4 linked regions of the Drosophila melanogaster genome follow. The protein of the gene in region 2 interacts with the protein of the main gene of each other region in a pairwise test. Each region holds a gene or a part of one and is shown on either strand. Other genes may lie near its edges.

Evidence for each region.
Region 1: the proteins of CG15435 (region 2) and CG10209 interact in a two-hybrid assay, tested with the Drosophila melanogaster proteins (one large-scale study listed by BioGRID).
Region 3: the proteins of CG15435 (region 2) and CG12868 interact in a two-hybrid assay, tested with the Drosophila melanogaster proteins (one large-scale study listed by BioGRID).
Region 4: the proteins of CG15435 (region 2) and Tim9a interact in a two-hybrid assay, tested with the Drosophila melanogaster proteins (one large-scale study listed by BioGRID).

Annotation. Positions count from the first base shown.
Region 1 is NT_033778.4:14,842,653-14,851,844, forward strand, and holds CG10209 (uncharacterized protein), read right to left. Parts: upstream 5,715-9,192; 5' UTR 5,551-5,714; coding exon 5,548-5,550; intron 5,320-5,547; coding exon 5,164-5,319; intron 5,113-5,163; coding exon 3,766-5,112; coding exon of another isoform or gene 3,679-3,765; 3' UTR 3,412-3,678; downstream 1-3,411. Other genes in the region: NaPi-T (Na[+]-dependent inorganic phosphate cotransporter), read right to left, coding at 716-991, 1,056-1,297, 1,369-1,501, 1,561-2,013, 2,068-2,313, 2,430-2,644, 2,776-2,785; SMC2 (structural maintenance of chromosomes 2), read right to left, coding at 6,020-7,457, 7,511-7,704, 7,761-8,030, 8,088-8,515, 8,572-9,192.
Region 2 is NT_033779.5:4,455,356-4,463,987, reverse strand, and holds CG15435 (uncharacterized protein), read right to left. Parts: upstream 4,260-8,632; 5' UTR 4,011-4,259; coding exon 3,855-4,010; intron 3,785-3,854; coding exon 2,429-3,784; 3' UTR 2,242-2,428; downstream 1-2,241. Other genes in the region: Paris (parkin interacting substrate), read right to left, coding at 1-142; CG15443 (uncharacterized protein), read left to right, coding at 1,028-1,364, 1,425-2,164; mRpL27 (mitochondrial ribosomal protein L27), read left to right, coding at 4,456-4,504, 4,559-4,722, 4,781-4,984; RpL27A (ribosomal protein L27A), read left to right, coding at 5,697-5,699, 5,931-6,248, 6,479-6,607; Gs1l (GS1-like), read left to right, coding at 7,539-7,602, 7,656-7,874, 8,250-8,632.
Region 3 is NT_033778.4:14,601,988-14,609,477, reverse strand, and holds CG12868 (uncharacterized protein), read left to right. Parts: upstream 1-4,180; 5' UTR 4,181-4,277; coding exon 4,278-4,311; intron 4,312-4,372; coding exon 4,373-4,842; 3' UTR 4,843-4,929; downstream 4,930-7,490. Other genes in the region: Su(var)2-HP2, read left to right, coding at 1-1,580, 1,645-2,061; CG33468 (uncharacterized protein), read left to right, coding at 2,519-2,549, 2,617-3,104; CG33469 (uncharacterized protein), read left to right, coding at 3,303-3,785; tra2 (transformer 2), read left to right, coding at 5,379-5,494, 5,977-6,130, 6,189-6,317, 6,602-6,974, 7,036-7,058.
Region 4 is NC_004354.4:13,379,262-13,386,393, reverse strand, and holds Tim9a (Tim9a), read right to left. Parts: upstream 1,185-7,132; 5' UTR 1,058-1,184; coding exon 998-1,057; intron 895-997; coding exon 799-894; intron 734-798; coding exon 602-733; 3' UTR 501-601; downstream 1-500. Other genes in the region: Ype (yippee), read left to right, coding at 1-50; Rbp1-like, read left to right, coding at 1,706-2,094, 2,771-3,125; CG1640 (uncharacterized protein), read right to left, coding at 6,813-6,961, 7,024-7,132. UniProt on the Drosophila melanogaster protein: Mitochondrial intermembrane chaperone that participates in the import and insertion of multi-pass transmembrane proteins into the mitochondrial inner membrane.

The sequences.
Region 1 (9,192 bases), on a different chromosome or scaffold from region 2:
TAAATATAGCTTAAAAGAAAAGCTAATACTTTGTAGACTGTGATTAAATACATAACATAATTTAATTCAAAATTTTAAATTCTTTAATTAGCTTAATTTTGGATGTTAATATTTTCTTAGGGAGTAGTATTAATACGAAAATTAAAGAATACATAGCAATGTCTAAAAATAAAGCGAATTATAATGTTTTACGTTAAAGAAAAGTACTCGCGTGGCGTCACACTCAAATATTTAATTAACATTATTTTTAATAACTGCAAATAAATATGCTGAGATATTAAAAAATCCCTTTTGACCTTCTGAAAAAAATTATCTTAGTCGGGATTAGTTGAATCACCTGGCTTAAGCAAAAACTTTCCCAGACAGCAGCAAAGCATTTTTAGCTTCCGTAAACATAAAACATTTTATTTGATTAACGCCATGCCGACATGAAGTGACTTTTACGCCGAAAGTGTTGTTTAAATAATAAACAAAAGCTGGTAATAAATCATATACATTTGTATTTATATGTATAAGAAGGTAATCTTGGGGGAGAACAGGGAACTAATCCTATGGTATAGTTAGCAACTCACTTAAATATAGAGGTTAAAGATGCTAAACTCAGTGGATTCACGGGTAGTTATTTACACAAAATGACGATAAGCCTTATCAGACGTTGTTCGTTGCCATAATCTACACGATATTATGACAATTAAACAGAGTGCGACCACACATGTCACTTTTCATCGCAATCAGATTTTGTTTTGGTCTCCTGTTCAGCGACTATAGGGGTTTCCTTATCATGGTCAGATTTAAGAGGCTTCTTCTCCTCCTCATCGTCCTGATCGCGTCCCAGATTCTGAAGTTCCTTTAGCCCGGAATCAGGCAACTGGTGACAGCCACTGTTCCATGGCTGCAATTTGGATTCCGAGAAAAGCACATACAAGATGCCACTGCCTGTTAACATCAACGAGGTGAGCAGGAACACATTCTTCCAGGCATCAATGGTTTGCTTTAAAAAGGGATTATTATACATGGAATAAATAACTCCTTTCAAAGGCAAAAATACAACTTACATTATTGTGAGTAAGTTGGCCCACGATGAAGGGCGATATGAAGCCCGGCATTCCACCAATCATTCCACTCACGCCCAGGACAATGCCCGCATAGTTTGGCGACAGATCGACCATGGAGGCCAAGGGACCCGAGGACACGGCGCCGTGAAGCATGGTGGCCACTGTGACCAACACGATGGCAGCCGTCGCGTTGTAGCCAAAGTAAGCTAGTGCTAATACGATTAAGCCTTTAGTGCCACAGCCTAGAACAAAAAAGAGTTTAAATGCTATTAAGGCTGTACAAAATATCTAAACAATCAGAAGTAATACTCACAAATGAATGTGGCCAACTTGCGGACATTTGTGCGACTCATCTTATCCGTGCGCAGAAGATAGTCGGCGAATATGGAGAAGACGTAGGCGAAGAGCATTCTCATAAGATGCGGCAGTCCGGACAGGAAGCCAGTCTGAAAAGGAGCAGGCAATGTGTAATACTCTTGACCTACAAAATCTATTAAACACTTACCGCTCGAATGTTCCAGTGGTGAATCAGTCTGAAGTAAGTCGGCGCATGGGTCATCAAAGTGAAGAGACCCCAGATGCCACCCCATTGGGCGACCACATTCAGCCAAACGGGACGAGAGGTGGCAATCGCCTTCCAGGGTGTGGGTCCCTTGCTGCCCTGAATGGAGGCACCCAAGGACTTCTCGATGAACTTTCTCTCCGAGTCAGCGATGCGGGGATGCTCAGCGGGACTATCGAACACAAGGAACTGCCAGGCGATGAACCAGAGAGTGCCCACGATTCCGCAGATATAGTAGACCCACTCCCACCGTGTCCAATCGATGATGTAGCCGAAGATCGGATAGAACAGGGCCACGCCCACAGAACTGCCCAAGTAAGCACTGACAAACTTGCTGCGCTCGTTGGGCGGAATCCATTTGGCAGTGAGCACGTGCATCGATGGCCAGGCCAAGCCCTTTAAAATTAAAGATTTAAACTTTCCATCAAAATCTGCTCAACGATCCCTTACCGTTATCCACCCCTGGAATACTCGCAGGATAATCAAGCCCGTGTAGCTCCAGTACGATACGATTGGTATAAGGAAACAGCAGAACACACCGATGCCATTGGACCAACCAAACACCAGTTTAGTACCATATTTGGTGGCCAAGATGCCGCCGGGAATCTGCAGTGTCCAGTGGGCCCAGAAAAATGATCCCAACAGAGCGCCCTGCTGCTTCTCGTTCCAGTGAAATCCATTCTTTTCGTACGGAATCTGCCAAAGATATAGTGCACACACACGTTACTCATACGCCCCGTTGTTGCACAAGCTCCGTCACTTTGTGGCTTTCATTAAGCACTTAACCAGTGATTCAGCGATCTGATACTCACATTCGCCCAGTCCAAAAACCAACGCTCCAGCGAAAATCGTTCATTCATTTCCGCAAGGGCAGCCAAGTCCGTAGAGTTCTCGTGGGTTTCATTTGAGGTAATAGCACCCTTCCCGGCAATCATGTCCACAATGGTAATGTTCAGATTGATCCGGATCATGTAGTTCACGATGAAACCGATGAATGTCATGTACCACAGCACAGTGCGCGCCTCGACTAAAAAGATCAAAGTAGAGTACATGAAATGCGAGCTCCCAACTTGTGGTTGTTCTTCATTTGGAGGTCTTAAACAAGATCTTCGACTTCGAGTTTCGAGGTAAGACACGAATTTCAGATCATTCTCGTACCTTGGCCCATGGTGAATGGATTGACTGGTTGAGAACTTCACTGGAAATTTGAACTCTGCATCTGCAGGAGCTGCCGCCAATCCCTGTGATTCGATCGCTGACGATCAACTGCTGCTGGCAGCTGCCGGAAAAGAATGCCAGACCCAGTCTGCCTCCAGTCGATCCGCCTGTATCTGTATCTGTATCTCTTTATCCCAGCCGGACGCCACTGATAAGCGCCGCAGATCTGGCGGACTATGCTGCAGCTCGGCTCGTGATCGCTCATCAACCTGCCCAACATGCGACAGACAACGACGAGTTCGGCGATCGGCAGCGCTCAGTTGAAATTCGCACTTAGGCAGACCGGATCAGTCAGCTGTTTGACTATCTTTATGATATGGCGTGCTCCCTGTGGGTTTCGTTATCGCGTTACGAGAGATGAAGACTAGATATTCCTGAAGACAGCTTAACGACGGACCGCTTGCCGGATTTACAGCTTTTCAAAGTCCAAACAAACAAGATTGTGGATTCCACCTCAGAGCTAAGCCAATGACTTCTCCGATTTGGCCAGAAAAACAAAAACCTGGGAATAGGGAGCTCTTGCCAGAAGTTGGGGATCAATCATTTTACTTGAACTAAAAAACATCCACAGTTTTTAAGATTCAATTATATTTGTATTTACACCGAAAAAATGTATGCGTCGCGATCTATTGAGAACTTGAGTCACAGTTGAGCTACGCTGTTATTGCCACGGGAACATTTACATGAGGATCACGGCATCCACTTACTACAAAATGGCATACATCAGGAGTATCTTCCTCATTGACTGCACCATTTTTGACTGTAGTAGTGTAGTGAGCAATGTGTACTTAGGTATAGGCTAGCATAAGAATGAGACCTACGAATTGCCGTCTAAATCGAGGGCTAACAGCTGTGCGCGTCTGCCGTCGTGGGGGACACCGTCGCAGGGCGTGGTGCTCCACAAGTGGCTTCCCACAGACGGCTCAGGACTCATCCGACATTTTCGTAGGACATTGGAGGCCGTTCGCTGGCGGTCGATCCGAAGATCGTTGGCGGATGGTGTTGCTGTCCCTGTTGCTGCTGCTGGTGGGGATGCTGTTGCTGTTGCTGGTGGGGATTGTGGCCATGCTGGTGTTGCTGTGCGGTCGGCTGCTCGTTGCGAAGCTGTCCCAGCGGAAACATGATGTTGTGGGCCATCTGGGGGTGGTGCAGGTGCTCATTGGGTGGCGGTGGAGGCGGTTGCTGGTGGGCAGCATGAAGGGCCTGAGCGGCCTCCACATGCTTGCGTTGCTCGCTTTGCTGTTGCTGTTGCTGCTGATGAACCTTCTCCACGCTGTTCTCCTCGTACTTCTTCTGAAGTTGGAAAAGAGGCAGCTGCTGGGAGGTATGAATGGGCACAGCAACTGCGCCTGCAGATGCTACTCGCTCTACCTGTGATTGAGGCGATGGTTCACGCTCGCCCTTTTCGTATTTCTTTTGCAACTGGTACATGCTGTGGGACAAGTGAGTAGTCACCGTGCTACTGCCACTGCTGCTAGAGCTGAGTTTTGAGGAGGTTGACGTAGAGGAGGGCGCGGGCTTCTCCGCTTTGACAGGCGACTTCTTCTGATACTTCTTCAGTATCTGCATTAGTTCGGACTTTACATCAAGGCGTATCTCCTCCGGAACTCTCTTGATCTCTTCGTACAGGGATAAGAGGAACAGCTTGTCGGGATCCCGGTTCTTGCGCTTCTTGCTCTTTTTTGGAAATGCATCCTGCATGAACTGCAGAAGCTTCTCCTCAAATGGCGACTCTCTGGATAGTGATCCACTTCCATGCTGGCGCCTCAACAGGTGTGGATGCAAGCCACCGTGAAAAGCAGGGTGCTGGAGCATTCCGGAGTGGGATTGACCACCGCCGCTATGCTCGCCTCCTCCACCGCTGCCATTGTGCGCCTGCAACTGGGATACTGGGTGTCCCTGATATGAGCCACCATTGCTTGATCCAGGAGCATCATTGGTTTCGCCATCGTTGGTGTGATGATCCTGCTGCTGCTGTTGCCCTGCATGCGATTGCGGATCCTTCTGGTGCTGCATATTGTGCTGGTGATGGCCCACTGCTGCCGTGAGAATAGCATCGCACAGATGCTCCGGGGCGTAGTCCAAGCCGGTCAAGAAGTTCTCCGCCTTGAGCTCACCATTCATCTCCTCGTAGAAGTACTCGGTGCCCACAATGTCGATGATATCGTTGTCCTCCTGGTTTAGTTCGATCCCCGGTGGTGGAGATCCTCCAGAGAGTTGACAGCGCTTCAGTTCCGCCAGCTTTTTCCTTGTGGTCAGTCGCATATCGCGCCAGCACTGGAAGAAGATTAAAGTTTATTTTTGGATTTAATAGGCAAGTAAACGCACCTTTTTCCACTGAATAATCGTCTTCTTGGGACCAATAGTATTAAGGGCCGCTTGGATCTTCTCCCAATACCACTCCTTCTCCTTTTTGCCCTCCATGTACTTGGTTTCCCGCAGCAGTGTGATGAGCATCTTCTTCTGCGGCTTGGTCACTCGATCCTGGAAGAGTAAAACGGTTCATTAGCAATCCCACATTCCAATGAATGAAATTCCACAAATCGGTGCTTTTCCCGCCTCGAACACCACTCCAATTGTTGCTATTGTTTATCCAAATGCCAGCGGTGTCTACAATATTTTGCTGCTCCCCGCACACACACACGCACAAGTCGTGTGTGTGTGTGGTAAAAGAATCGGACGATTCGTAATTTTTGGAACCTTGCAAATTACCATGGTGAGCTTTTGAAGCAGTCTGCGTTGGCTCGAAATCTTGATGTTTTGTTTTTCAACCGCCGTCGAGTTTTTGCTGCTGAATTCCGGGGACTTTTGTTTAATTTTTCACTCCCTCAAACATTGCTGTTGCTGCCTTTCGTTCTTCTTCTTCTGTCCGCTGCGTATGTGTGTGTGTGCGTTTGACGGTCTCACCAGTTTGACGTTTCGCCCGCCCGGTTGGAAATCAGCTGATGCGCAAACGACCGTTACAAAATTAAATTTGTAGTTAAATTACTTATTTCGTTGATTTAAGTAATGTAGCAATAAGTATATTGACCGATGGCTCTTGAAATAAGTATATTGCTGTAATACACAACCTTTTTTGCGAATTAAAAAAACTTGAAAAAATTCACAATTAAAATGATAAGAACAGTTTTATATGGTATTTTTAAAGTTTTATTAAGTGATAAGAAAGTAAACGAGTTCCATTTCAGCGTTTGTTGGTTGTCGCCTGTCTGCTGACCTGCCGGGTGATGGTGGACACACCCTCCTCGAAGAGAGTGCGGAACAGGACGTTGGCGTGGTTGAAGAGACCATCCTTGAGAGACACAATCAAGAACTGCGAGTTGGTGAAGTGCTGCTTCAACATACTACCTATGTTTTGGGTGTGTGACATGTCCAGGGCAGCGTCCACCTCATCCAAAATGTACAAGGGAGCCGGAGAGAACTTAAGCATGGCCAGGACAAGGGACAGAGCCACCAAGGACTTCTGGCCACCAGAAAGTTCACCGAGACTCTCCTTCCATATGCCATTGAAGCCGACTTTAATCTCCAAACCGGTCAGACAGCCATTGGTATGGACGGGATTGAGTTTCGCTTCAGCACCCGGTAAAAGGGAGCTAAAGATCCCACTGAAGTTCGTGTTCACCTCGGTAGCGGCTTTGTTCAGCTGATCCTGCTCTTCTTCGTCCATCTTCACTATGATTTTCTTAATCTTCTCCTTGTCCATCGCCACAATGTTTCGCCGGCGCTCGGTCTCCTTGAAGTTCTCTTCCTCGCGATCCAGCACCATGATAGCGTTCATGTTGAGAGTGCGTTCCATTTTGTCCTTTTTCTCCTGCATCTTTGCCAGCTTGTTGCCTGCTTCGTGGGGGTCCTCCTTGCTGTAATCGTACCGAGTATTCTTCATGCCAAAGCAGTTCTTCTCCTCCGGAATCCACGGATACTTTGCCTCAAGGGCTTCCATCCGTTTCTTTGCCTCTTTGGCATCCGAACTGATCTTTTTTTGTTCGTTCTCTTTTTTCTTCACCTCCAGCTCAATCTCCTGATTTTCCTTCAACATTTTCTCCTTCTTGACCAACTGATTTCGCATCTCCTTGTTCTGATCTCTCAGTTTATCTTTCTGCTCCTTAATCGCCTGTTCGAGCTCCGTCACCTCGGACGCGGCACTGGAGCTATTTACTTTCAGAGCGTCTAGCTCGGCCTTAAACTTTTCGAGGTTATCAATCATTTCCTGGTGCTGCTTCTTTGCAGTTTCGATACTTTTCTGCAGCTCAGTAATTTCCAATTGAAGAGTTTCGAACTCCTGCTCTCGCTTTTTCCAGTTCGCACGAGATTTCTCCGCCCTTTGCTTGGTCACCTTGATCTCGTTGGTGGCTGCATTCAGCTCTCGCTCGCGATAACCCTTTGCATCTGCCAACTTCGCCTCGATATCCACTATTTTGGCTTGCGAGGTCTTCTGCTTTTCACGGGAGTCAATTATTTGCTGCTCTAGGGTCTTGACCCTTTCCCTCATTTCTTCAATTTCAGCCTGATTCTGTTGAAAGGTTGTTTGGGCCAACCTGTTCTCGCACATGGTTAGCTCGTGCTGTCGCAAGTCAAGATTTTCCTTCATTTTGTTGAACGCGAGGGCCTGGTTTTCAATGGATCTAAAAACAGATAGGCGTAAGTATTGGCAATGAGAAGTTACTGGTTCACCTACGCAATTTGCTTTTCCACTTGGGCTATCTCAGAGTCGATCTCCCTGTACTCCTTTTCTATTTGCTTAATTGCGTGCAATTCTTCTAGAACGTTAGCACCTTTAGGAGCAGCACCTCCAGACACTGTGCCATGGGGATCGACGACATCTCCTTCCAAAGTCACAGAACGACAATTAATACGGGGGTCGTAGCTGATCTAGATAAAAAAAATGCATTTAAAAGATGTACAGAAAAAGAAATATATATACTCACTTGTTTGGCTACAATGAGGTCCTTGCAGATAAGTGTTCCGCCAAAGCAAAACTTCATGACAGGCTCGTAATAGCGGTCATAGTCAATCAGTGACATGGCCCATTGGACATTCTCGGCGCCCACTTTGTTTTGAGCGTATTCTACCACATTTCTGTTTAGCGAACCAGATTGAATCTTGTTGATGGGAATCAAAGTGACACGACGCTGAAGATTGCCCCTCTGCAAGATCTTCTTGCTAGTCACATCATCGTCCGTCACGTAGCTATATAACTAACATAGAACTCGTGATTAAAGAAATAACTTTTCAAATCAGATTTAACAACTTACACTTCCGCCGGCTGTCTGGACTAGAGCCATGGAGTTTTGCATGTCTTTCACCTGGAACAACTTGCCTACCAAACCACGCACCTTACGCCGATCAAAGTTTGGTTCTGGGTCCTGGTATTGCAGATCATAGCGGGAGGCATTGCAGCGGTCCAGCTCTCGTTTCAGATCGCGCTTTCGCATGTGCAGATCATTGCGTCGCTGCTTTAGCTTCTCGAAATGACCGCCCTCGTAATCGAGACTTTGTAGCTGCCGTTCTAAGTTCTTAATCTCAACCACCAACTGATCATGCAGCTTCTTATCCTTTACATAGGCAGCGTCGTTGGTCTGGGTCTCACCCTCACGCTGTTTCAATACGCCACGCGTATGACGCAGCTCGATCTCTGAGGTCTTAATGGTGGTCTGTGCCTCGCTGAACTGCTCCTTGGCCACTAAAGCGGGAATATAGGTAATTAAAATGATTTAGTTTCATCCCCGACAGACATACCTATCAATTGTTCTTGCAGTGTTGAGGCTTCTCCGTTTTCATTGGTGGAGAGTCCCTGCGAGACAGCCTCCAGCTTCTTTTGGGCGTCCTCATAGGCTTTTGAGTCCCTGGCATCTGCCTCCTTGAGGCTTTCAAATTCGCCTTGAACCTTGGCCATGTCCGCTTCTTTTTTTGCCAGGGCTCGTTCATCATCCTCAATGTTTTTGGATGCCATGCGAATTTTCTTCTCATCTTGCTGAATCGTTCCCTGGGCCGCCTTCAAGCTACCCGTAGCGGTAGCTTCTAGTGCCCGCTTGGCGCTGAGCTGGGTTTCGAGATTTTTGATGGAGCCACCCATCTCTGCATCGATCTGTTGCTGCATCTCCTTCACGGAGTTTTCAATGCTCTCGACCTCTGCGAGGTTCTTGGCGTGAGTGGCCTTGCAGTTCGCTATGCGATCCTCGATTTTGTGCTCATTAGCCTCCACCGTCTTGAGGGTCTCGCATTGCTTGAGATACTTGGCGGAGATGTGAATTCTGATGAGGAAGTCTATGTCGCGGCAGATTTTCTGATACTCCTGGTAGGCGGAGCGTTCTTGGCGCAGCTTAACCAGCTTTGGCAGCACCTCCTCGTCGAGCAAGA
Region 2 (8,632 bases):
AAAACAAATCGCCACGTTTGACCTCGAATCCGGTGCACTGCGCGATCATCTCGGCAATGGAAACTCTGGTTCTTCGTCTGGCGTCAAATATGTTAACGAGTTTACCAGAAATATCCATACAAACTCGGCATATTTCCGCCATTATCCCTGTAATAAACAATACTTATTAGGCTGAACTTTATGAAGGACTATATTACTTACCTGATGTATATACTAAATAGCTTATAGCTGGAAAAGCAATCTTTTATAATTTAGGAATCCGTTTCATACATCCCAATTAATTGAAAATTAATGCGATTGCCTTGATGAACAATTCAAAATAATAATAAGCTAAACTTCACATTGTGCACAGTACACTGGGCACCCTATTCTCTGGGCCATATGCTAAATCGATTTATTATCGATGTTCGAAATTCAAATTATTTATCAAAATGATGATTTTTGAAACTAAGGTGTGTTTACCATATTTAACAGCTGAGATAAACGCAAACTTGCAAGGGTCGCCCTGTGGTGGTCAGCCCAAGTTTTGATGGGAAAATTCTTATCGGATATCGATATCCTTTACCTGTTGAAGAATATAAAATTGAAATAAATTTCTTTGGAAAAACAAACATTTATCTTCGTATAGTTTTTTCACATTTTCGCCTAGCTAGTGGTGAATAATTTTGGACAGAAGGAGCACTGGACTTTTTCCGTGGAAATCATAGAAAAATTAAATTAAAAAGGCACAAAAAGGAAATGAATCTCCTCGCCGAACTTCTTTGCCAGTATAAAAATAAATTCACATATGAAAAATCGGGTTCCTGGGTGCCACTGAATATGTTTATCCATCGATTCCGGGCTCAGATTACCACCATTGACCTGAAATTAAATAAGCATTACTTACTCCAAATAAAATATAAACAAACAAGTGCGTACCTTTTTTGTTTACAATTTTAACAGCTGATGAGTGAAGTGCTGTTAACCTTTCATAGTTATCGATAATCTGTTATTATTATCGGAATATTGCTCACTTGCTAAGGATTCCATGAAATTTAAACAAATGGACTTTGTGACGACAACTGGGGAGGGAAGTTTTCTGCGAAACAAGATTCGTGCATATGCCAAGGATCACCGTGTTGAGTGCCGCATAAAGGCGAAAGACTCATTGCGCATTGGACTTGGACAGGTTAAGCAGGAAGTGGCGGCTCTTGAGATGGGCACCAAGGACGTCATTGGAATGGCCAGCAGGATCAAGCGTCGCAAGCACGCCACCTCCGAGGATCTGTGCCGCTTGTCGCTGGGGTTCCTCCAGAGCAATGACAACATCAATGCATTCGCAGCTATTCCTGGCGCCATTCAGGTTCTGGTTAAGGAGCTAACTGGTAACCAACTGCACCCTCATTAGCTTTAGTTTTATATAAAAAGGTTGACTTGACTTTCAGGACCTCACATTCAACGACAGACAGATGCCGTGGAGTGCTTGTGTAATCTTTCCTTGGGCGAGGCCCATGTCTCCGAAAAGATTGTCACTTTGGCGGGCAGCTACATGGTCACCTACCTTGATGGCAAGGCCGAACGCCTCAAGCGCAGTTGCCTGTGGACACTGGCCAACGTTCTGGGCACATGCGACAAGGCCGGCAGCGTATTGCTGCAAATGCAAATAGTACCCAAGCTGTGGAGGCTCTACATCGAGCCCAATGGCTGCCAAGAAGATGCGGCCATCTGCCTCTCCCTGGTGGCCACCCGCTGCCCGCAGCATGTGAGTGACGAGGATCGAAGGTACATTGGCCAGAATCTGCCTGAGAAGCTCCACGGCCAGCCTGCCAGCGAGTACTTCATGTACATAGTGCACCAACTGGAAATAGTGACACAGGAGCACAAGTTAGATGCTCAACAGGCCGAATGCCTGGTGCGTTTCTTTGAAGCCACCTTAGCATCGCCAGCCGACCGGCTGTGCCTAATCTACGCCGTGCGTGTAATGACCAATCTGGTAGCCCTAGGTGACACAAGTCTAATATTCGCACTGGCAGACCCGCAGAATCTTGTGCAAACCCTAAACCAGCTCTTCGCTCTGCGAGATCCAGATCTCAACCTGGACGCGATGCGCTTGCTCAAGAACTGTCTGCACTTGAAGGTAGCAGATTCCAACCTGGTACTGAATAGCTTGCAAATATACGCATAGGCTTATGGTTAAGAATAAGTCTTGCAAATCTCTTTATTGGTCTTAGAGTACATATAAATATAAAGCCACGGACTTTTGAGTACTCGAGAATGTATTGTAAATGAACATGGATTGCCGCTAAGCAAAACTAAATCACTAATGGAAACAGAATAAAATAAATAAATAATAAATAAATACAATACGACAAAAACACAGATGCAAAGTGGTCAACATGATTACTAGTTTGATTGAGCCACCGGCATGAAAAACAGGACTTTGTAAAACCTAAATATCATCCTCGAAGAGGGCGATTATTTGACGCCTTTTGGCTTCGTCGTCGGCGTTCAGTTCATTGCCCCTGTGGGCATTGTGGTTGTGCACCTCCAGTTCGGAGACTGAGTCAAATTCTAAATTGCACTGCCCGCAGCGGGCTGAGAAAACGGGCGCTGGACCCTGCGAAACTGTGCCAGGAGAGACAGCGGCCCGTTGCAGCTTCTCGAGGAACGTGGCTCTCTCCCTGTGCTTGTCCAGCCCGATTCCCAGCGCCGCCTTTCCGCGAATGGGAATGGGTTTTTTCACCGTCGGCGTGCCCTGGGAATGGCAACTTTCAGAGCGCTCAATGGCGTACAGCACGTTGTTCTCCTCCGTGATCGGAGTCGTCGTTCCGCTGGCACAGTCGAATAGAGATGGTTCCTGCACCGGCCGGGGATCGGGTATATCTATGGGAATTGGCGGCTCAGCTATCTTCTCACCGTTGGACACCTTCACCTGATTGAGCTTCTCGGCCAGAAGCGAGTCTATGGAATGTTCCTGCAGCCAGGCGCAAGTTTTGTGCAGAGCGAATATCATGCGGCGGATGAACTCGTGCGGCGAGACCATTTTCTGTCGCCTAATCTCGAGCAACTTGGTCACCTCGGTAACAAACGTGACGAACTGGTATTCGACGCAGTTGTCCAGATGCGACTGATGCGAGTCCTCGAACATGAAGCGTTTGGAGCATGCCGGACACTTGCGCTCCTTCCACATGGGCTCCGGTATGTTCACTTTGATGTCGCGCAGCTGCAGCTGATCCTGCTCCATGGGATCGTCCTCCTCGAAGTTGGTCTCGGTGTAGTTATAGCAGTTCTTGTGCTTGCGCAGCAGGGCCGCCTCCTCGTTGTCGTCGCTGGAACTGGCCACCGCATAGTCGTCATCTTCGTCGTCATTTTGGCCACTGCTCGATGGCAGTTCGCCATCCCGCGGTTGCCTGGGCATGCTGTTGTGAGGCTGCTGCTTGTTGAACAGCACGTTTAAGTACTGGATCTTCTGCTCAGCATTGCCGTCTAGCTGGGTAGTCGTCTGATTGAGCAGTCGCTTGTGTACCTTGTCCTTGGATGACTCCAGTTTGTTGGCGCTGTTGTTTAGCAGAAGATTATGCACTGGCCTCTGCTCCACATAATTCAGATCCTCCGCCGTGAAGAGGGCGCTCTCCTTGTCCATCTTGTTCGCATCCGAAACGTTGACCCTCTTCTGCTGGTAGAGCTCCGCCAGCTTGAGACTCAGCGCGTTCTTGATGCACTGTTCCCGGAATGTGACGGCATGCTTGAGATAGGAGATGCACGGCGCACATATGTTGCGTGGCAGTCCGTCGTCCGTGGAGTTCTGCGGTCGGTCGAAAGAGGAGGCACTCATATAAACATTTATCTGGCTACTTTAGAATGGAGTCACTTACTTTCAGGCCCGTCGTCTCCTCCAGCAGAACGTTTATGGGCTTTTGCCAGTTGAGAAACTCGTTTGTGGAGCCGTGCAAATACGTGGGAATCTTGGCGAATATCTCGTAGTCTGCGGGGCTGCTGCAGATGCGGCAGATATTGCCCCACGACGTCATACTTATGGCAAACCTTAAACTTAATGCTTATGCCGGAAAAAATAAACAATGACAATTTTCAACACTCCGGCGAGTGTTGCCCTACCACTGAAGGTTCAAAACTCAACAGTCCACCCACTTGCGGCAGTGATGTCCAGTTAGCTATAACAGGATTACAGCAAATTTTTTGAATATTAATTATTATTAGCTAAACACGTGACAGATATATTAATGACTAAGACGATAGTTTATTTAAGCATAAATAATACTGTTGAAAATACAAACGTAGATTTATTTGATATATATTTACAAAGCTAGATTTTATTAACACCAATTGGCAACAGTGGCCAACAGTCTGTTAATGCTCTTGATCTAGCTGAACTCGGGGGTCACACTGGTGCCCATCTGGAATTGCATAAACAAACCTCGCTACTGGAATAAAATCACAAATATGTCGTTTAATATCATGCAAAAGCTGACCATGCAGTGCCTGAAGGCAGACCAGCCGCTGATGAGTAAGGACTTCCCACGAACCGGTTGCATATTCTAATCAATTCAATCCCATTTAGCCACCGTGCGCAATGCCAGCAAGAAAACCGGCGGAAGTACGAGGAATAAGAAGGGCCATGCGAGGCCCAAACATCGCGGATGGCGCGTCCAGGATGGGCACCACGTCTCCGAGGGCACAATACTGGCCACCCAGCTCACAACGCGCTTTCATCCGGGCCTGAATGTGAGTAGCGCAGGAAGGAGTTATCCCGGCATATTTTTATACTTTTTCCCATTGAAAGGTGGGCTTTGGCCGCAATGGAACCCTTTTCGCCATGGAGCACGGCAAGGTTTATGTGACCTGCGAGGCCATCGATCCCAACTGGGACCACACCTGGATTCAGCGGAACTACGCCGGTCGCCAGGGCCAGAACATCTACAAGAAGTTCTTCAATGTTGTGCCCGAAAATCAGCATCAGCGATTTCGTCTAGTGGAGGAAATCTAGATTGTTAAATACAAAATTTAAACCAAATGGAAATGTGAATATTTGAATTTTTGGCAATTAACATCGATGTGCTTAACAGCACCTGTTATATTTACATGCCAGCACGACCGTTATACAGCACTGTATTTAGCAATGCTCTGAACCAACTATCGAATACACGCCCCGAATTTGAAAAGAAATCCAGTTAATAGCCAGATATCAATGCAACATTTTCGATTATTAATTTCGCAAAACTTTTTACATTGCGAACTTCAAAAACAAAAACTACACTTCCCCCTTTTTTAGCCAAGCCGAACGCTATTGAACTGTAAAATGAACTTTAATAATAAGCCATAATCATCTATAAGAAATTATAAAATTATGCACATGACGGTATAGGCACTGCCTACAGAATTTCGCTTAAATCAAGTACACGTTTTATCCTATGAATGTAAAAACTTATTTAGTATTGTTGTAGTGAAATTCAATTTAACGCTTATATATGCAGTATTATGTTTAATTATTCATGATTATATATTTTCATAATGCATATAGACTTAAATTTATCTTAAATATAATGGTGTGTACGAGATATTTTTTCAGACTAAAATGGTAGTTAGGGGTATATGTTTTCTGTCCGGATGGTATTTCGTATTTTTTGTTATCGCCGCCGGGCGGTCACACTGCTACAACCGCAGCCAACTTCGCTTCTTTCTTTCCTACAATTTTAAAGATGGTGAGTGGACGTCGGTAAATGTGGTGCACCTAAAATGTGGTTTGTGGGCAGGCGAATGATGTGGAATAGAAATAAGAGCTCACTCAAAGTGCCGCAGCATGCCTGCCCACTGACTGCAATGGCCAAGTGAGCATAGCGACTGGAGCAAGTAAACATAACCTCCAGCACGTGGGTGAAAATGATTGAGGAATGCTCAATGAAAACACGTTTCTTTTCTGCTCTCCCTTACAGTCGAATATCAAGCGGAAGAAGACCAGGAAGCTGCGTGGTCATGTGAGCCACGGTCACGGCCGTATCGGCAAGCACCGCAAGCATCCCGGAGGTCGCGGTAACGCTGGTGGCATGCACCATCACCGCATCAACTTCGACAAATACCATCCTGGTTACTTCGGCAAGGTGGGCATGAGGAACTTCCATCTGCGTCGCCAGCACAAGTTCAGGCCCGAGATCAACCTGGACAAGCTCTGGTCCCTGGTCGGAGCCGAGAAGTTCGCCGAGCTGGAGAAGGAGAAGAGCACCAAGGCTCCCGTCATCGACTTGGTTAAATTCGTAAGTTTCGCCCGAATTCCCCATCCAGCTACGCGAACTCTGCTGCCGCTTTCAACATGAAGATACACCCAAGGCGATGGGCGGACAGAATGCTACCGTACAATTGCTCTCACCGTGTAGAGGACAGCCTTTCAGATCAAAGCCAGCAGTTCTTGAAGAGGATGTGCACCCGTTCTCACCCCGTTGTAACCCATTGTATTGACTCTGGTGTCCTTCTCATGTCTCCACAGGGCTACTACAAGCTGCTGGGCCGTGGTCACCTGCCCGCCCGCCCCGTCATCGTGAAGGCCAAGTACTTCTCTAAGAAGGCTGAGGACAAGATCAAGAAGGCCGGCGGTGTGTGCTTGCTGAGCGCCTAAGTTAAGGTGAGCTTGTGTGTCTAGCTGTCTTACCTATTCGTCGGCGAAGCAATGAAGTGCAGTATCCTAATTGCTATTGTTTCCCTTGCAGATTCCTCCTCTACAGAAGAAAAAAGCAAGTGGACTACATTCGACCATCAAAAATGTATTTGTTTTTTAATAAATTTAAAAGAAAAACAAGTATTTGCTATTCCGACAAAATGTGTTTACTAAAAGGTATTGGGGCTTCATTTTCTGCTCGCTTGGCGCAAGTTGTTTAGAACTTTCTATTTCTATTCCTGCTACAACTTTCCTTTATATTTTTATAAAGAATAATTTCTATATGGTTAGTTTGTTGTGGCAAAGGAAAACTTGTATTTTGAATCAAATAACAAGGGCAAATTTAAATGAGTTTGACAATATTAGAAGTATGCCTATTTTTGTAACTTAAGAGGAACAGTAATAATATAAAGAAAATAAATAGTAATTTAAAGAGTATAACTGCGTCGGTGCGCATTATCAGTTAATCCCTCCATTTTTAGCACTATTCTCGACTAGGCTTTTTGCGCCTTCGCAGCTACGGTCACACAGCGGCGGGCAGAAAGCTCGCGGAAAAATTCGGAAGAGGCGGAAAAGTACGAGACGCCCGATATTGCAAAAAGCGGAAGCAGATTACGTGTAGGTCAAGGCCGTAGGGATGAGGGCAACTTCCATCTTTGACCTTGCTGTTGGTGATGGGGTGCGGCGACCTTGGGTCAAGGACACGACCGAACAAGAGGCACCGAATCCAGGAAACGTAGTCAAAGTGGAGGGCATGCCTGTGTGGGCGGGGGATGTTCCAGTAAAAACAAAGTAACTTGATTATGACCTCTGTGTTGCAGTTAGGAAACGAACTTGTTGACTTTGTAACATTACATAATCGGAAGCCCAGAGTGAGGAGAACTGCTGCGAGATGGCCAACAAAGTGCTGCGAAAGGTGACGCACTGCGTCTTCGACATGGACGGTCTGCTGCTGGGTGAGTGCTGCCGTGCTTGTATCTGCTTTCTGTGTTAACTATTTGCCGAACAGACACCGAACGCCTTTATACTGTGGCCACCGAAATGATCCTCGAGCCCTACGGCAAGACATATCCCTTTGAGATCAAGGAGCAGGTCATGGGCCTGCAGACGGAACCGCTGGCCCGGTTCATGGTCGAGCACTACGAGCTGCCGATGTCGTGGGAGGAGTACGCACGCCAGCAGCGCGCCAACACCGAGATCCTGATGCGGAACGCCCAGTTGATGCCAGGTACTAATCCCAGTTCTCGCTTTGCCGTCACGTTTCAGACACGGAGAGGATATACGAGGAGGTCACCCGGCAAATAGCCGCCTCCTTTGGCCGCCCGTATCCGGAGGAAGTGCGTTTCCGGGTAATGGGCACCACGGACCAGCGCTCGGCAGAGATAGCCATCACCGAGTGCCAGCTGCCCATCACAACCGGAGACTATCTCAAGCGGTACTCGCAAATGTGCCACGAGCGATTCCACAACGTACCCCTGCTGGAAGGTTAGCACCACGACCAGAAAACTAATCGGCATTTCTCCCTATAAATACTTCTGCTTCAATTACTATCCTACTGTGATTAAAGCCGTTTGTTAATCGTGTGCTTCCTTCCCCGTTCAAGGTGCTGAGCGCCTGCTGCGTCACCTGCACGCCAACAAGGTACCCTTTTGCTTGGCCACCAGCTCCGGCGCCGACATGGTCGAGCTGAAGACGGCCCAACATCGGGAGCTGTTCTCCCTGTTTAACCACAAGGTGTGCGGTTCGTCGGACAAGGAGGTGGTCAACGGCAAGCCTGCGCCCGACATTTTCCTAGTGGCCGCCGGCAGATTCGGTGTGCCGCCCAAACCGTCCGACTGCCTGGTGTTCGAGGACTCGCCGAACGGCGTGACGGCTGCCAACAGCGCCGGAATGCAGGTGGTGATGGTGCCGGACCCACGACTGTCCCAGGAAAAGACCTCGCACGCCACACAAGTGCTGGCCTCGTTGGCGGACTTCAAGCCGGAG
Region 3 (7,490 bases), on a different chromosome or scaffold from region 2:
CTCTCTGTCCATCGACTGAAAAACATCTTCCTGACGAACCAACGTTGCTGGAAAGTTCCAAGAAGGTTGCAGAACCGCAGAAGCTACAAACGTTTCAAGCCAAATGTTTGCCTGTGCCAATTCCAGAGGTAAAGTCAGAGCCGGAAGATATCATGGATGAGCATTCACCTAATGAGCCCATGCCTATGGTTGCTGCAGCACCAGCAACACCTCAACCACATGCGATTACGGAAGACGCTGGGCCCGACACTATTCAAGTCAACACCTTGGGTGTTTCCACTTCATCTAGGCCGCTTGAGTTACATTCAATTCCCTCCGCCAGTGACCCTGACGGAAACCCCAATGCCATTGGGCAGACCAAGATGTACTCATTTCTCTACCCGAAACGTTACAAGCAATCCTATGACGACGTCGGTCTAGACTTCTGCTGTCCAAATCTCGATGGACCAATGCGGGCTATTGATTTTACTCGATTGCATTCGAAGGCCGAGGTACCGGTGCTGGAAATCCCGCAGTTCCTGGTTATAACCACCAAGTTTATCTCTAAGGCGGATAAGAATATGCCAAGTAAGGTGCGGGCAAAGCTGGAATTACTGGACAAGTCGAAAGAACGGGATTCCAGTAAACTGACCCCGACGGCTACCACTCCGACTGCTGATCCCACCGGTCCTTCATCCTTTTCACCTGCTCCCGCTTCGGTTGGTCCGGCAACTCAACCGTTTCCATCGATTATACAGAATTTGCTATCGGCTCCCCTACCTGATCCAGGTCTATTTAATCATCCCACAACCGTGGACCCATCTACTTCCACTCCCGTAGTTTCAGGCAGTTCCTCTTCCACTACCATTTCGGCGGACTTGGATTCTTTAAGCAAACAGTTGCCACGTGGCACAAAACTGATCAAGAAGTCAGTGCAACAAGTGGCTACCAATCCCTCATTAGCCGGCACCTCGATGGTAATTAATGCGTCGCCGTCCTTTATTCAGTTACCTCCGATTTGCCCCAACGACAAGCAGCGCGTGGAGTTGCAGGCGAGGGTTCAAATGTTTGACTTGGTGCTCCAGACCCTCAGCCGGCGGGCAGCCAACTTATCAGTGGCCGAGCGACAGCGTACCATTGAGGAAATTGTAAGGACCAGCTCGTTAATGGCCATCGACGTGGATGTGGGTACAAAGCTTTTGGAAAACTATGTACATTACTTAAACAAGGCTACCAGCACAATGACTCCTCTAACCCCGGCCCAAATCAACTCGAGCTTAGGCGCTTCCACCAGCTCGACGCTTTCCAAAAGCATAGCCACCTCCGACATCCCACAGCAAGGGAAGAAAATATCTGCGGACCATGCCCAACAGCGGAGTTCTCTCCCCGCTACCATTCCCCTTTACGATGGGGGCAGGAACACACTTGGCTTTCCGTATAGCTGCTCGAAATCGACGGCAGGGCGAAAGTCTTCATATGTTGCCACCAGCACGCCTGTGAAAGCCTCCACATCCCAAGCAGCAGCAGCAGCAGCTCTAGGAAACGCTCAGCCAAGATCCACGTTGGGGATCCCGAAAAGTGTTCGGGAAGACGCTAGTCAGGTAGTTATTATTTACGACAAATATTTATGTGGTCATTAATAAACAATTTATTGTTCCTAAACAGTTCGTTAATCTCAACACAACAGTGTGTATGCCAGCACCAAGGACGAATGCCAAGAAAAAACCAGGGACTTCGGGCCCTTTAAAGTCGATGAATTCTTCACCAGCTGTGCAGAAACCGGCGCTGTGCAAACAGCAGACGGCGCCGGCAAGAACTCTGTCCAAGAGCACAGTCTCATCCGTTGCACGAGCGAAATCAACAGGGTCTTTAAGTGCAGTGTTGGGTGAGACTCCTGCTGACGAATTCGTATCCCCCGCCGGAATGAGTCTGAGTACCACCGGAAATCCGAATGTCTTCATCATTAACCACGCGGTGCAGTCAGAGGAAAGCATCCTGCCTGACTCCAACAGCAGCGTAGGGCACATGGAAACGACGGTGATCAAAGGCGAGCTGGATGATTCTGCGGAGATTATTATATAGCAGGGCAAAGACTATAAACCAGTTGGAAAGTATTCTAAGTTACTTTAGCACAGTTAATTAAGAGTTAATTATTTCGTTGAACGCAAAATCATAATTTTGTAATTCTGAAATGAAGAATTTGTTAAACCTTACGCAGCATCGTCATTTTTTTTTTTTTTTTTTGAAATAAATGGTTAAATATTTTATTCAGTGTGGGACTTTCAAGTAAATATCTTATAGTTATCATTGCATATTTATTAAGTATCCAAATAAAATATAAATATAAACATTCTAACATTTTTTTATATAAGCCGAAACGCATAAATCGTGTAAAATAAGAAATAAGAAAAATTACATTTCGTTCGAAGCTTTTGGAGCCATTGGCGAAATCTTAAAGCTCTTGTGAAATATTACAGAGCGATAAGTATAAAAGTTGCGCAGGGGAAAAACCGTTTCTATTAACAACAAATTTTTCAAGATGACAACATCTGCTGTTGAAGCTCCCAATAGTAAGTTTAGTTAAAACTTTACAGAGGCATATTATAATGATGCACATATGTATATAATAATCTACAGGTGCATATCCCGATTTAGAAAAGCGACTGGAAAGGTATTTGCGAAGTGTGTTTTGCCTAAAGGAAATCGATACTAAAAATGAGTACATTCCAACCGAAGTGGAGTACTTTGGAGTTCTGAGTTTAAGCGATGTTCGAGCGCCTCGCCGAAAACTGTGGTACATGTACTATGCGACAACAGATCAGGTGGACAAAACTGTGGATCAGATCCATCGTAAATATGGCCAAAAGAATATGTACGAGCTGTTCAGAAAACCGGTATATACAGGGGCTGGAATGCGATCCCGTGTTAAGAACCACTTTAAAGGGCTTAAGTGGCACGTAAAAGGAAACATTTTGGAAGCCCCGCTAGGTAGCTCCCTTAATGATGAGAAAGTGGTTAACACAATTGCAGATTTATATCAGAACGAAAGGAGAAGATACTTCGATTACCTTATGTCTAGGAGTAATCTGTATAAATCGTGTACATATCGAAACATAAATGCATAAAATATTTTCATTTATGTATAAGACTTTCTAGAATAAAGCTTTAAAATAATAAATGCCAATAAATGCTAACCAGTATTCTTTTAACGCTTGTTGAGGTAGGAAGGCAAAATTGCCGCACACTTATCAATGGGCAAAGCCTATGAATCACCTTAAGTTTTCATCTGATTATATTTCTTAATAGCAGGGAATATTAGCAACATGGACGATAAATTGGAAAAGTACTGGAGACGTCTATTTTATATGAAGTCAGTTGCAGAACCTACGTCGTTGGATGCTGATACGATAGAATATTTCGGAATATTCAGTATTGACGAACCAAATGTCGCTGCCCAAAAACGGTGGTACATTTATTATGGCCTTAGATTAGAAAGGTTAAAGGTTCTGGAAAGGATTCGAAAGAAATATGGCAATAGGAATGTCAGAGAAATATTTCAGATCGCCACATTCAGCGGAGTGGGATTTCATAAAGTCGTCAGAGAATATTTCTCCAACTTAAAATGGTTCACAAGCAGAAATCAATTGGAAGCTCCACTAAATAGTTATTATAATGATGAAAGACTAGTGAAAACTGTTTCGGACTTGCATAACAAGGAGCAAAAAAGAATCTTTGACTATATAATGATACAACACGCCTGGTTTGAGCGGTATAATGATCAAAAACCACCTCCTGCTAAACATTAAACTAACTAAAAACATCGACTTACAGTCGACATCTGTTGACTAAAAGCGGCATGTGTATTTGTTGATAGGGGGTATTATTATACATTTTACAACCTATTGGTCAAGTTAAATGATTTATAAAAATATGTCGAATAAAATATATACACACACAAGTAGCTTGCGGTTATAATATAGTAGTACATAATAGTATATACCTTGGAGTCTAAAGACACAGTCATCCGATCATCCTAATCAACAAACATAAACACCCTAGTTGTCTGCATTAATAGGTATTAAAAAGAAACAAGCGCATTAAAAGCTCACTGTTTTTTGATAGGCCACAGGGTTGCTTCAAAAAGCTCTTTTGTTGTGAAATTGGAAATCGTAAACAAAACGAAACAAACTTTATACAAATCAGTTGAAATCGTATTTGTTGGGTATTTAATAAGAGTGCGTAGGAAGTTAACACGCATTCAGAAGTCAGAGAAGCAAGAGTCACCTCGTTATTAAAATATGACAACGAATTCAGTAACTGATAAGAACACGGGTAATTAAAACGGCAAATTATTTATTTGGAACATCAACGATGATTAACAACCGATTCGCAGAAGGAGATTACAACCTGGATGAGGAAATCGACAGCCATTTGAGAAAATTGTTCTGTCTAAAACCAAAAGCTGAAACACCCAAACTCAATCCCTACATAGTAGAATTCTTTGGAGTTCTTAGCTTGACAGATCTCCGTGCCCCACAAAGAAAACTATGGGTCATATATCACGCCAAGCAGCCTGATCTGGACAAGACCGTTGATGAGATCCACGAGAAGTATGGCAAGAAGAATATGTTTGATCTGTACCGCACACCAGTTTTCAGTGGAGTTGCTCTGCGGGACAGTGTGAGAAAGCACTTCTCGAACCTAAAGTGGTTTACGACGGGAAATCTCCTGGAAGCCCCACCTAAAAGCCACTTCAACGACGAGCGAGTGGTGAAAACCATCACGGATCTGCATCATCTGGAACACCAGAGACTATATAATTATGTGATGGTGAAGAATATGTGGTCTATGCGGTATCGCTAAACTAACCTGTGATTTAGGATTAAATTTGTATATGACTATCTAAAAGCAAGAATAATAAATTGTACTATTACAAAATCCATATAACATAATGGTTTGCTAACCAATCAAATAGTATTGTTTTCTTGTAGTACAAATTTTGTTTATTTTCCTATATTTCGTTGAATAAAGTACATAATAATTATGCTGATTTAATTTGTTAAATATATTCGATAACATTAAATAAATTCCGCTTGTGTTTTTTTTTTCTAAATGGATGACAACGCCGCATAAGGGTTAAAGTGCCAATCGATAACGCACGTCCTCACCTATCGCCACCCCTGTTGAAGCGTGCGTCTTTCTAAACGCAGACAGAATAAATAAAACCTGCCAAAGGCTATCAATTAATTGGTAAACACTGATTGGGTGTGCAATATAGCAGGGAATCAAACCCTCAAAAATGGTAAGAACGGCAATCCAAATAGTGTGCACCCATTCATCTTCTTTTTTCGCCACCATTGCTCCGATAAGCGAAGTTTCGATAGGTAAGCAAAAAGCCAATGGATCGGGAGCCACTCAGTAGCGGGCGTCTCCATTGCAGCGCCAGATATAAACACAAGCGATCGGCGTCATCATCGTCAGCGGGGACAACTTCATCCGGACACAAGGACCGCAGGTAAATGTGTACACACATATGTGAGACGACCCTAAACGATACCTCTTTTGACATGAAGCATCGAGTAGTTTTGACTGGCAGTTTGGAAAAAAGGTTCAACTGTCATAGGGCCCTTTCATTTGGATTTGCCCCCTCAGCCGATTCAGCTGGTGCTCTTGCCAAGAAAGTTAAAACCAAAAATCATTCAAGCCGATTTCATTTCATTGGAAGAAACCAACCAACCAACCAACCAACCAACGAACATCACTATGTAAGAACCCACCGAAGCAATCATTTTCATTCTACGTCCAACTACCAAAGAATTTGGCCGAAAGAGGTCGAACCCAACCGTAGCATTTGTCAAGTCACACAAATTTTCCAACTGTCAGTTACCAAGGCGTGCAAGAACCACCCGAAATCCACACGAAATACAAAACTTTTCAAGACCCTCAAGAACGAACCGCAAGATAATCTTATTTCATTCCATTCCACATCGAATCAAGGTCTGACTACGATTACTGTGGCAGTCGCCGGCACCAGCGGTCCTCCTCTCGCCGACGCTCCCGTTCGCGTTCCTCCTCGGAGTCGCCGCCACCGGAGCCGCGTCATCGCTCCGGACGTTCATCACGCGATCGCGAACGAATGCACAAGTCTCGCGTAAGCCATTCTGCCGATTAATGCCTCCTTTCAATCCTAAAGATCTTCGGCGTTTCAGGAACATCCACAAGCAAGCCGCTGCATAGGAGTCTTTGGACTGAACACAAATACCTCGCAGCACAAGGTACGCGAGCTGTTCAACAAGTACGGACCTATCGAACGCATCCAGATGGTGATTGACGCACAAGTAAGTCGGTTTTCGATAAGCATTGCTAAGATATTTCCTGCCTGAATCCTTTTGTGTAGACAAATCCGCTGAAGCCCTGCAGTTTTGTCTTAATTTCTGGCTAGATAAAATTTGATAGCGATTGTGAGTTTTTGTGTATTCCAAACTAAAAGCTAAAGGCTTGCTGTCACAGTGGCATATTGTTCGAAGGAAATATTGATCTCCCGAAATCAATATGTGTTCAGTTGTTAGGAAAGTTCAAGTTCACAAACGTAGATTAACCCTTAATAACTTCTGACATACAGACACAGCGTTCCCGGGGCTTTTGTTTCATTTACTTTGAGAAACTCAGCGATGCCCGCGCGGCTAAGGACAGCTGCTCCGGAATAGAAGTGGATGGTCGCCGTATTCGCGTCGATTTCTCTATAACCCAACGGGCTCATACCCCAACTCCGGGTGTGTATTTGGGTCGTCAGCCGCGTGGAAAAGCTCCACGCTCATTTTCACCGCGTAGAGGACGCCGTGTGTATCACGATCGCTCCGCTTCGCCCTATGACAACTATCGTGATCGCTATGATTACCGCAACGATCGCTACGACCGTAATCTCCGCAGGAGCCCTAGTCGCAACCGTTACACTCGCAACAGGAGCTACAGCCGTTCACGCTCTCCGCAACTACGTAAAGTTTATTCCTCCGTCTATTTAATCAAACGTTTATCCTGTATATTTTCCACGATTAGGTCGAACTTCATCGCGCTATTAAAGCGCCTGGGGAGGAGGCTACTTCATTAACTCGTGCTCCTAAGTTCGCCCAACTGGATTGTGTCAAACGGGCTGTAAAGGAGCATACGACTGAAATATTGTTTTGGTGAATCCTATCCCATCTAATGCATTTGGTTGGCGAACAGTTCGCAACTAGATTAATTAATTATTCACCCAAAACACCCTTTAATCATAATAATTCGGTTACTATTATTAATGCTGTATAAAAACATAAATTGTAAATATCAAATCAATTACCAACATTACATACAGAGGTCCGCATGGATTGTGATATGTATTTTAAAGGAACTGCAGCAAACTGATAATGATAACATTAAACTAATTTTAATTATAAATGCAATTGTGCAGCAGGTACAAAATAAAGATTAATTTGTACAGAAGCGACGATTAACTTGTGAATGGGCGTTTTATT
Region 4 (7,132 bases), on a different chromosome or scaffold from region 2:
TCACAGAGGCAGAGGGCTTTCCGTCGGAGGCCGCCACCACGAGTCATTGAGCCGATTGAATATACAGCCGGAAAACGGGAACCACGCATTGGCGAACCTTGTGTAGCCCTAAGTATTGAGTAGATGGCCACAGGCGATGGCCTCTATGCATTAGACCTAGATTAGAGATCGCCGTAGTCGGCTCCGGTGTTCGGGATACCGAAGACCGATATATCGGTTGCACATCCGCCACGGAGCACATGCGACTACGGCCCTGTCTTAACGTGACTTAAACGTAATTGTAGGCACATCTAGCACGTAAGCAGCTGCGGCGCCCAATTCTACCATTTAAATGTCATGAGGCTGAAGTGCTAAAACGAAAAAGATGGGCTGCTACTCAGCTGGAACATATTCGAAACTGATGATCCACACTTGTCTTTTTCAAACAAGATCTCTAGGCCGTAATCAATCAGCAATAAAGTACCACAATAATCGAATAGTAGATAATAATCGTCGGGATTCCGTCAACGCGTTTCTTTACTCAGCTATTTTGACAAATGCAGGAAAATGCATCATCTCAGTTGTCTAAACTAGTTAAGATTGTTTGTAACAGCTATAACACCTAAAGTTTGCCAGTCTTTTGAGCCATGGCCAGTGCGTTCTCGTGGGCAATAACCTGGAACTCCTGGAAACGCTGCGAGACGCGTTGGTTCATCTTCAGATACTTTTCCATGCAGTTCAGCGAGCACTTCTCCTGTGAAATGGATGGGCATATTGAAATCGCTGATTTCCACATGGAGCTTCCCCACGGGCACTCACCTCGGAATCCTTAACATCCCGCGTTGTAAAGTCGCGTATGCAATCTGTGAAGCACGTCTCGGACAGTTTGTTGTAGGACATTAGGAAGTCGGAAAACTGAAAGTTAGAACCGAAAACATATCAAATGAAAACCACATTGCATCACTTGGCACCGCCGGTCCTTGGCATGAGATGGTATCTTCGTGTCAACTCTGCTTACCGTCTTAATTTGATCCTTGTCCAACTGATCGATGGCTATGTTTTCCGGTGTCTTAGCCATTTTGTTCTGCGATATTTTATTCAAAATTGCCGAAACGAAAAAGGGCCAATAATAATGTGCCTATATAATAGGGACAGCTGGGTGTGCAGGGTTGCCAGATGTTAAAAAGCCATTCCGTGTTCTCGACTTATCGATATGTTATCTTTTGAAGTATGTTATGTGAAGTATCTGGTTCGGCCGACTCAAAAATTAACCACATCTAGTTTTACTCTTAACATCGGGTATATGAAATTAAGCAAATGTATCCATACATAAATTAAGGTATATTTATAATAATACTTTAACTAAGTACCCTTAGGTTGTGAAACATTTAATTTAAACTATTAAATAGAATAAAATGATATTTCAAAGATCGATATTCCTATAAAATATCGATAGTCGCATATCTTATGGTCAGCGCTTTACGGTACTGCACCTCGTTCACTTTTCAACACTGGAGGGCACGCCATCTTTTTTTCCTCACAAACACTTTTTTCTGCTCCTGCTTTGTGGGTGTGCTCTTTGAAAAACCAAGGAGAATTCCCTCGGAATAGCATCAAAACAAACTGGAAAATTGACTTTGGACAAGTCCAGTGGTACAACAAATACCAAAAATCCATTACAGAACCGGAGGAGCAGCACCTCCAGCCACATACATATTCATACATAATGCCACGCTACCGTGAATGGGATTTAGCCTGCAAAGTTTACGTGGGCAATCTGGGATCCTCGGCCTCCAAATACGAGATCGAGAACGCCTTTAGCAAATACGGACCCTTGCGCAACGTCTGGGTGGCCCGCAATCCGCCCGGTTTCGCCTTCGTCGAGTTCGAGGATCGTCGCGACGCTGAGGATGCGACCCGTGGCCTCGACGGCACCCGCTGCTGTGGCACCCGCATCCGTGTCGAAATGTCATCAGGCCGTTCACGAGAGGGTCGCGGCGGTGGCGGTGGAGGCGGCGGTGGTGGAGGCGGATCCGGTGGCGGCGGCCGCGGCGGTGGCAGTGGCGCCCGTGCTGGAGGCGGTGGAAGGGCTGGCGATGGCGGTGGACGCTATAGGTGAGTACGGCACAAAAGCATTACATTTTGCATCCCCAGAATAAACCAGATAAACTAACTAACCAACCAACCAAAGCACCCACTTACTACCACTACCCCTCTCTCGAGATTATGAAATCATAATTTTTGCCATTATGTGCAAAAAAGTATGCAAAAATATATATATAAATAAACATATGTATACATATTTATATAGCGTGTGTGCTTGTGTGTATGTATGCATGTGAAAAATCGATTCGCGTATACATACAAAAGCGGTGCCAGCCAAAATACACACAGTCACACATACGGTGGGACACCACTGTTAGCCATACATAAACACACACAGTGGCGTCCGTGAAAAAGAACAGTCCTACCGCGCGCACACAGTGGCGTCCGTGGCCGACAGTCCTGGTTGCTTTTGCTACGTCAATCGATTCTTTTTAGCTCGTATTTTGTTTTTTAAGGGGAATCTTGTTTTAGTATCACATTTCATTGCTCATTATATGCACCCCGAGGTCCATAGTTTAAAGTTCAAAGAGTATAGCTTTAACTAGAGAAAACGTTTTGTTTGTTGTTTTTAGTAAAATTACAAAATACAAGAAAAATGAAAAGAAAATACAAGAAAACTTAGTAAAAACAAAGTAAATCGATCGCTTGGAGCCAGTTTTAATGTGGTCTCACAATCATTTTGCAGGATAAAGTCTTCTTCTTCTACTACAACAAGCACAACAAGAACTACTACAACAACAACATCAATAATAATAATAATAATGATAATTAAAAGAACAACAAAGAAAAAAGAAAAAACAACAACAGCTACTACTACTAGAACTTCTACTACTCCTCTTCCTTCAACAACAACAACCAAAAGAACAACAACAACAGCTACTACAAGAACAACTAGTACAACAGCAGATCCTGCTCCTCCTATTACACACATTTCACCAACAACAACAACAACTACAGCCACCACTACACCACCACCATGCAATAACAATTTGTTGTGCGGCCCTAACCAGAAATTCAACAAATTCGATATATTCCGCTGACCACAAAACCAAGAACCAGAACCAAACCGAACGACCGCAACACTACCACACCCCCTCCACCACCTGTTCAGCTCAACCCAGGCAAAAAAAAAAAAAAAGAAAAACAGAACAGAAAAAAATGAATCATCAGCAACGTCTTCGGCTCCGCAGCTTCAAGAATAATGCACCCAAAACCAGACCGAACACCACCCACAGTCACCTAACTATACATTCCACTATGGGGCACACGACTAGCTACAAACTAAAGAAAAGAAAACGATTTAAGTAATCTTCGATCTATGCCTATTTTGAATAGGATTTAGCTGCTAAACGTTGGTCTTTTTTCTTTGTCAAATAACAGAATATTGCTTTGGAATATAAATAGGATTTAGCAAACGAAGATGGTCGTATGCCCCACAGTGCATTCCACATTTCCACATCATTTATAGTCTGTTAGTTGGCAACATCTTCAGGCTACACAACAGACACACTCACACAAACAGCCATTAACCACACTAATCACCAAGAACCAGAGCGAACCGATCGTCGGCGGCAACAGAGCAACTTCATCAAGAATCCAAATGCCAAAATGCATCTATTGCATATTTATATATATATTATACACACACTCACCAGTCCAGCAACGCTTCAAAAAGTCAACTTCCTACGTCTCCAAGTTGTGCGGTTGTCTTCAGCCTGCTCCTACGTCCCCAACAAACCACCCACCACCTCATCATCCGTCATCTTTAGTGCAGCTACAGCATCAGCAACAAGCTACAGCTACAAAGACCAACTGCAACAACAGCTTCTACTTCTACTACTACTACTACTACTACTACTACTACAACAAGAACATCTGGCAGCCAGTCAGCAAATCGATCTCGAGGCTGAAAAGCCTTTGGTAGACTTTTTGTTGGTTCCACCACTCAGTAGTTGCACCTTTCCCTTGCAATCAAACCAAGATTGAGGCTGCTTCATGCTAATTCCTTCAATCGCAGCAAGTATGAAACCTTTGGCCGCCACCAACAACACTGTCCCTCGAACCGAAACGAAACGTAACGTAACGCCTCTAACAAAATCCGTTTGTTATACTCGTAATTGTAATTATGGTTGTTTTTTTTTTTACCTTTTGTTCTTGCATCCTAACATCTACTGAGATAATCTTGTTCGCGCTAATTGTCTGCTCTCTGTGTGTAATATACAAGTATATTGTGTAAATGTGTGTTTATATGCATTGATCCGATCAGCTCGAACTCACAGTCAGACAGTTCACCAACAAAACGACCCCACCAACAATCGACCAAAGCACCAGCAGCATCAGCAGTTCAGGGCAGGGCAGAATCTTCTTCAAGCTCGCAACTTCACAGCGCGGATGGTAGGAGCTGCACCGCCACCACCACCAAACCACAACCACCAACCTGATCCTCTCTTGCTGCTAACTGATGCTTCCCCACCAACTGCTTCTTCATACGACCTACGTTCTTCGGCTGCTGCAACAGAATAGAATGATTCACCAATATATCCACCAACAACACACACCAAAAAAAAAGAAATAATAATAATAATAGAAACACAACACAGCCACCCTAGTCACAGTCAATCAGCTCAGTATCGTATCAACAACAACAGCCCAAACTACAACAGTTCAACAAGAACCTACTACTACTACTACTACTATTACTACTACTACAATTCAACAACAACAACAACAACAGCCTTCTCAGTCTGCTCTGCTCATCAACCAACTAAGCAACCTACCAACAAACCAATCAGCCACCAATCCAACCAACCACCACCAATTACTTTATGTAAATGTCACACCAACGCTTTCGTTAATGGGGCAAAAAAAAAATATATATATATATATATATATCAGCTATATCTCCACCACCTTCAAGCACCTTCAGCCACCAAAAAAAAAACTGAAAAAAATTACTGCCAGCTCTCAGCTCCGCTCAGCTCAAATTAAAGCTCCAATGTCAGCTCTCCGATCCGTATCCGATCCACCAGATCCGTCAGCCCAAGTTGTGTGTTGTTTGATCGAGACCACTCTTATCAACTTTACGTATCTTAAGGAATTGTTATCTAACTACACGACTAGTTAAGTTACTCATTGGTGCAAAATCTATTTAATTTGTATTTTCTCTTTCTCTTTCTCTTTCTTTCTCACCTCTCTCTTTCTGTGTCCTGTATGTGTGTGCCGGGCCCAATATGTTTTTCCCCAAACGCTACCCATTTCATTGCAGATCACGCTCACCCCGCCGCTCAAGGACACGCAGCCGCAGCTTTTCGAGGGATCGTCGCAGTCGCTCCGACTCCAGGGACCGCCATTAGATGAGAAGAGTAGTAGTGGGATGCAGCCCAAAACTGGACTCCACAACACACACATATATATAGATATATATATATATTATACATATACAGAGATATATACATAAAGTAGTACGGCCCCAGAGTTGAGGACAAAAAGGATCTGTTTTGCCAGACGAAAAATGGCTCAACAGATTTCTGAAGTTTGACTCAATAAATTCGTCCCCCTCCATATAATAACCCCCCCCCCCCCACAGAGAACAAAACCAAAAAACAAAAAAAAAAAAGGTATCGAGCAACTTCACAAAAGACCACCACACAACCCAGCCATCTCTTCGATCCGAATGGTTCGCTAGTATAGCCACAGTACAACTATGGTACACATTGGTTTTTAGGCCTTAAGACTTTGGTAGATTTTAATTCAGAAAATGAAAAGATAAAAAGAACAAGCCACCAGCGCAACTACAACTACAACACACAAAGAGTGAGGCATCCGATGAACAATGGATGTCAAAGGTAAATTTATTGTATGTCCGCGAACCTAAATTATTTATCCACTTGGTTTTTACCCTAAATCTGTCGCAACACAAAACATGTCAAGAGAAAAGTGAAAAAAAGGTACTATATGCGATTGTTTGGCGTAAGTGCAAGTAGTTACATAAGTCGTGAAATGAGAATCAATAAATTGAACCTAATTTAAAACCGAAAATATACACAATGGGTGTTTTTAATGGGAATGTCGGGATTTTCAGCTTTTCTTAAAAACAAATTACAAAAGGATACCCATTGCCCAAATTGAAATTAACGCAGCGCTGGCTTAACAATAATAATTATTTATTTATTTTCAAAGTTTCTTCTTGTCTATAACAATTAGTAATGACTTGAACGCACACACATCATATGATTTTCGTGATCGATTCGCGGGGGATAAGCACATGCAGGGCTATATATATTTATGTGTAGATAAATATAAATATACACAATGCAAATAACTTTCGTTTAGAACAATATCAGAATTTTCAATTATGCGCCGACCAAAAGATGGTAAACTACTTTTGGTTCTAACAAAAATTATTGTCAAATCTCCGCCAGGAGTTTTCGTTCAATTAAGAATCAAAGACTACATGGTTAAGTGGGTTAATTGCTAACTGGAAACGTTATCGTGGCGATAAAACCTGCGCGGGTTGGGTTCACAAATCATAGGGTTTTAAAAATGTTTTTATATATTTCTCATATATATCTATATATGCATATAAAGAAGAGCTTAGAAGCATTCAGCTATGACACAGTAACAAAGAGGAAAAAAAAAAAACAATTAGGGTAATTTAAATTTTTAATCCTAAGCCGGAGGATTGACACTTAACACAGGGATCGAGGACGGGGAAGTTGGCAGCTGATCTACTTGTACTTCTTCATGAACTCGGCGTGGAACACACGGAACTTCTCCATCATCAGCTTCAGCTTGTCCGTTTGCGGGAGGATCGTGCTTCGGAAATGCCACGTGCCGGGCTTCTGACCAAATCCACTGCCAGGAACAATGCAAATGCCTGGGAGAAAATTAAACAATAAATTGAGAGACTAACAAACGAGGTCAGCAAAGAAAACTCACCGCTCGTCTCGAGCAGCTCAAATGCGTAGAAAACATCGGGGGCCATGCCCTTGGCCTTGGCCGCCTCGATCGCCTTGGGCGGGATCTCGATCTGTGGAAAGACGTACAT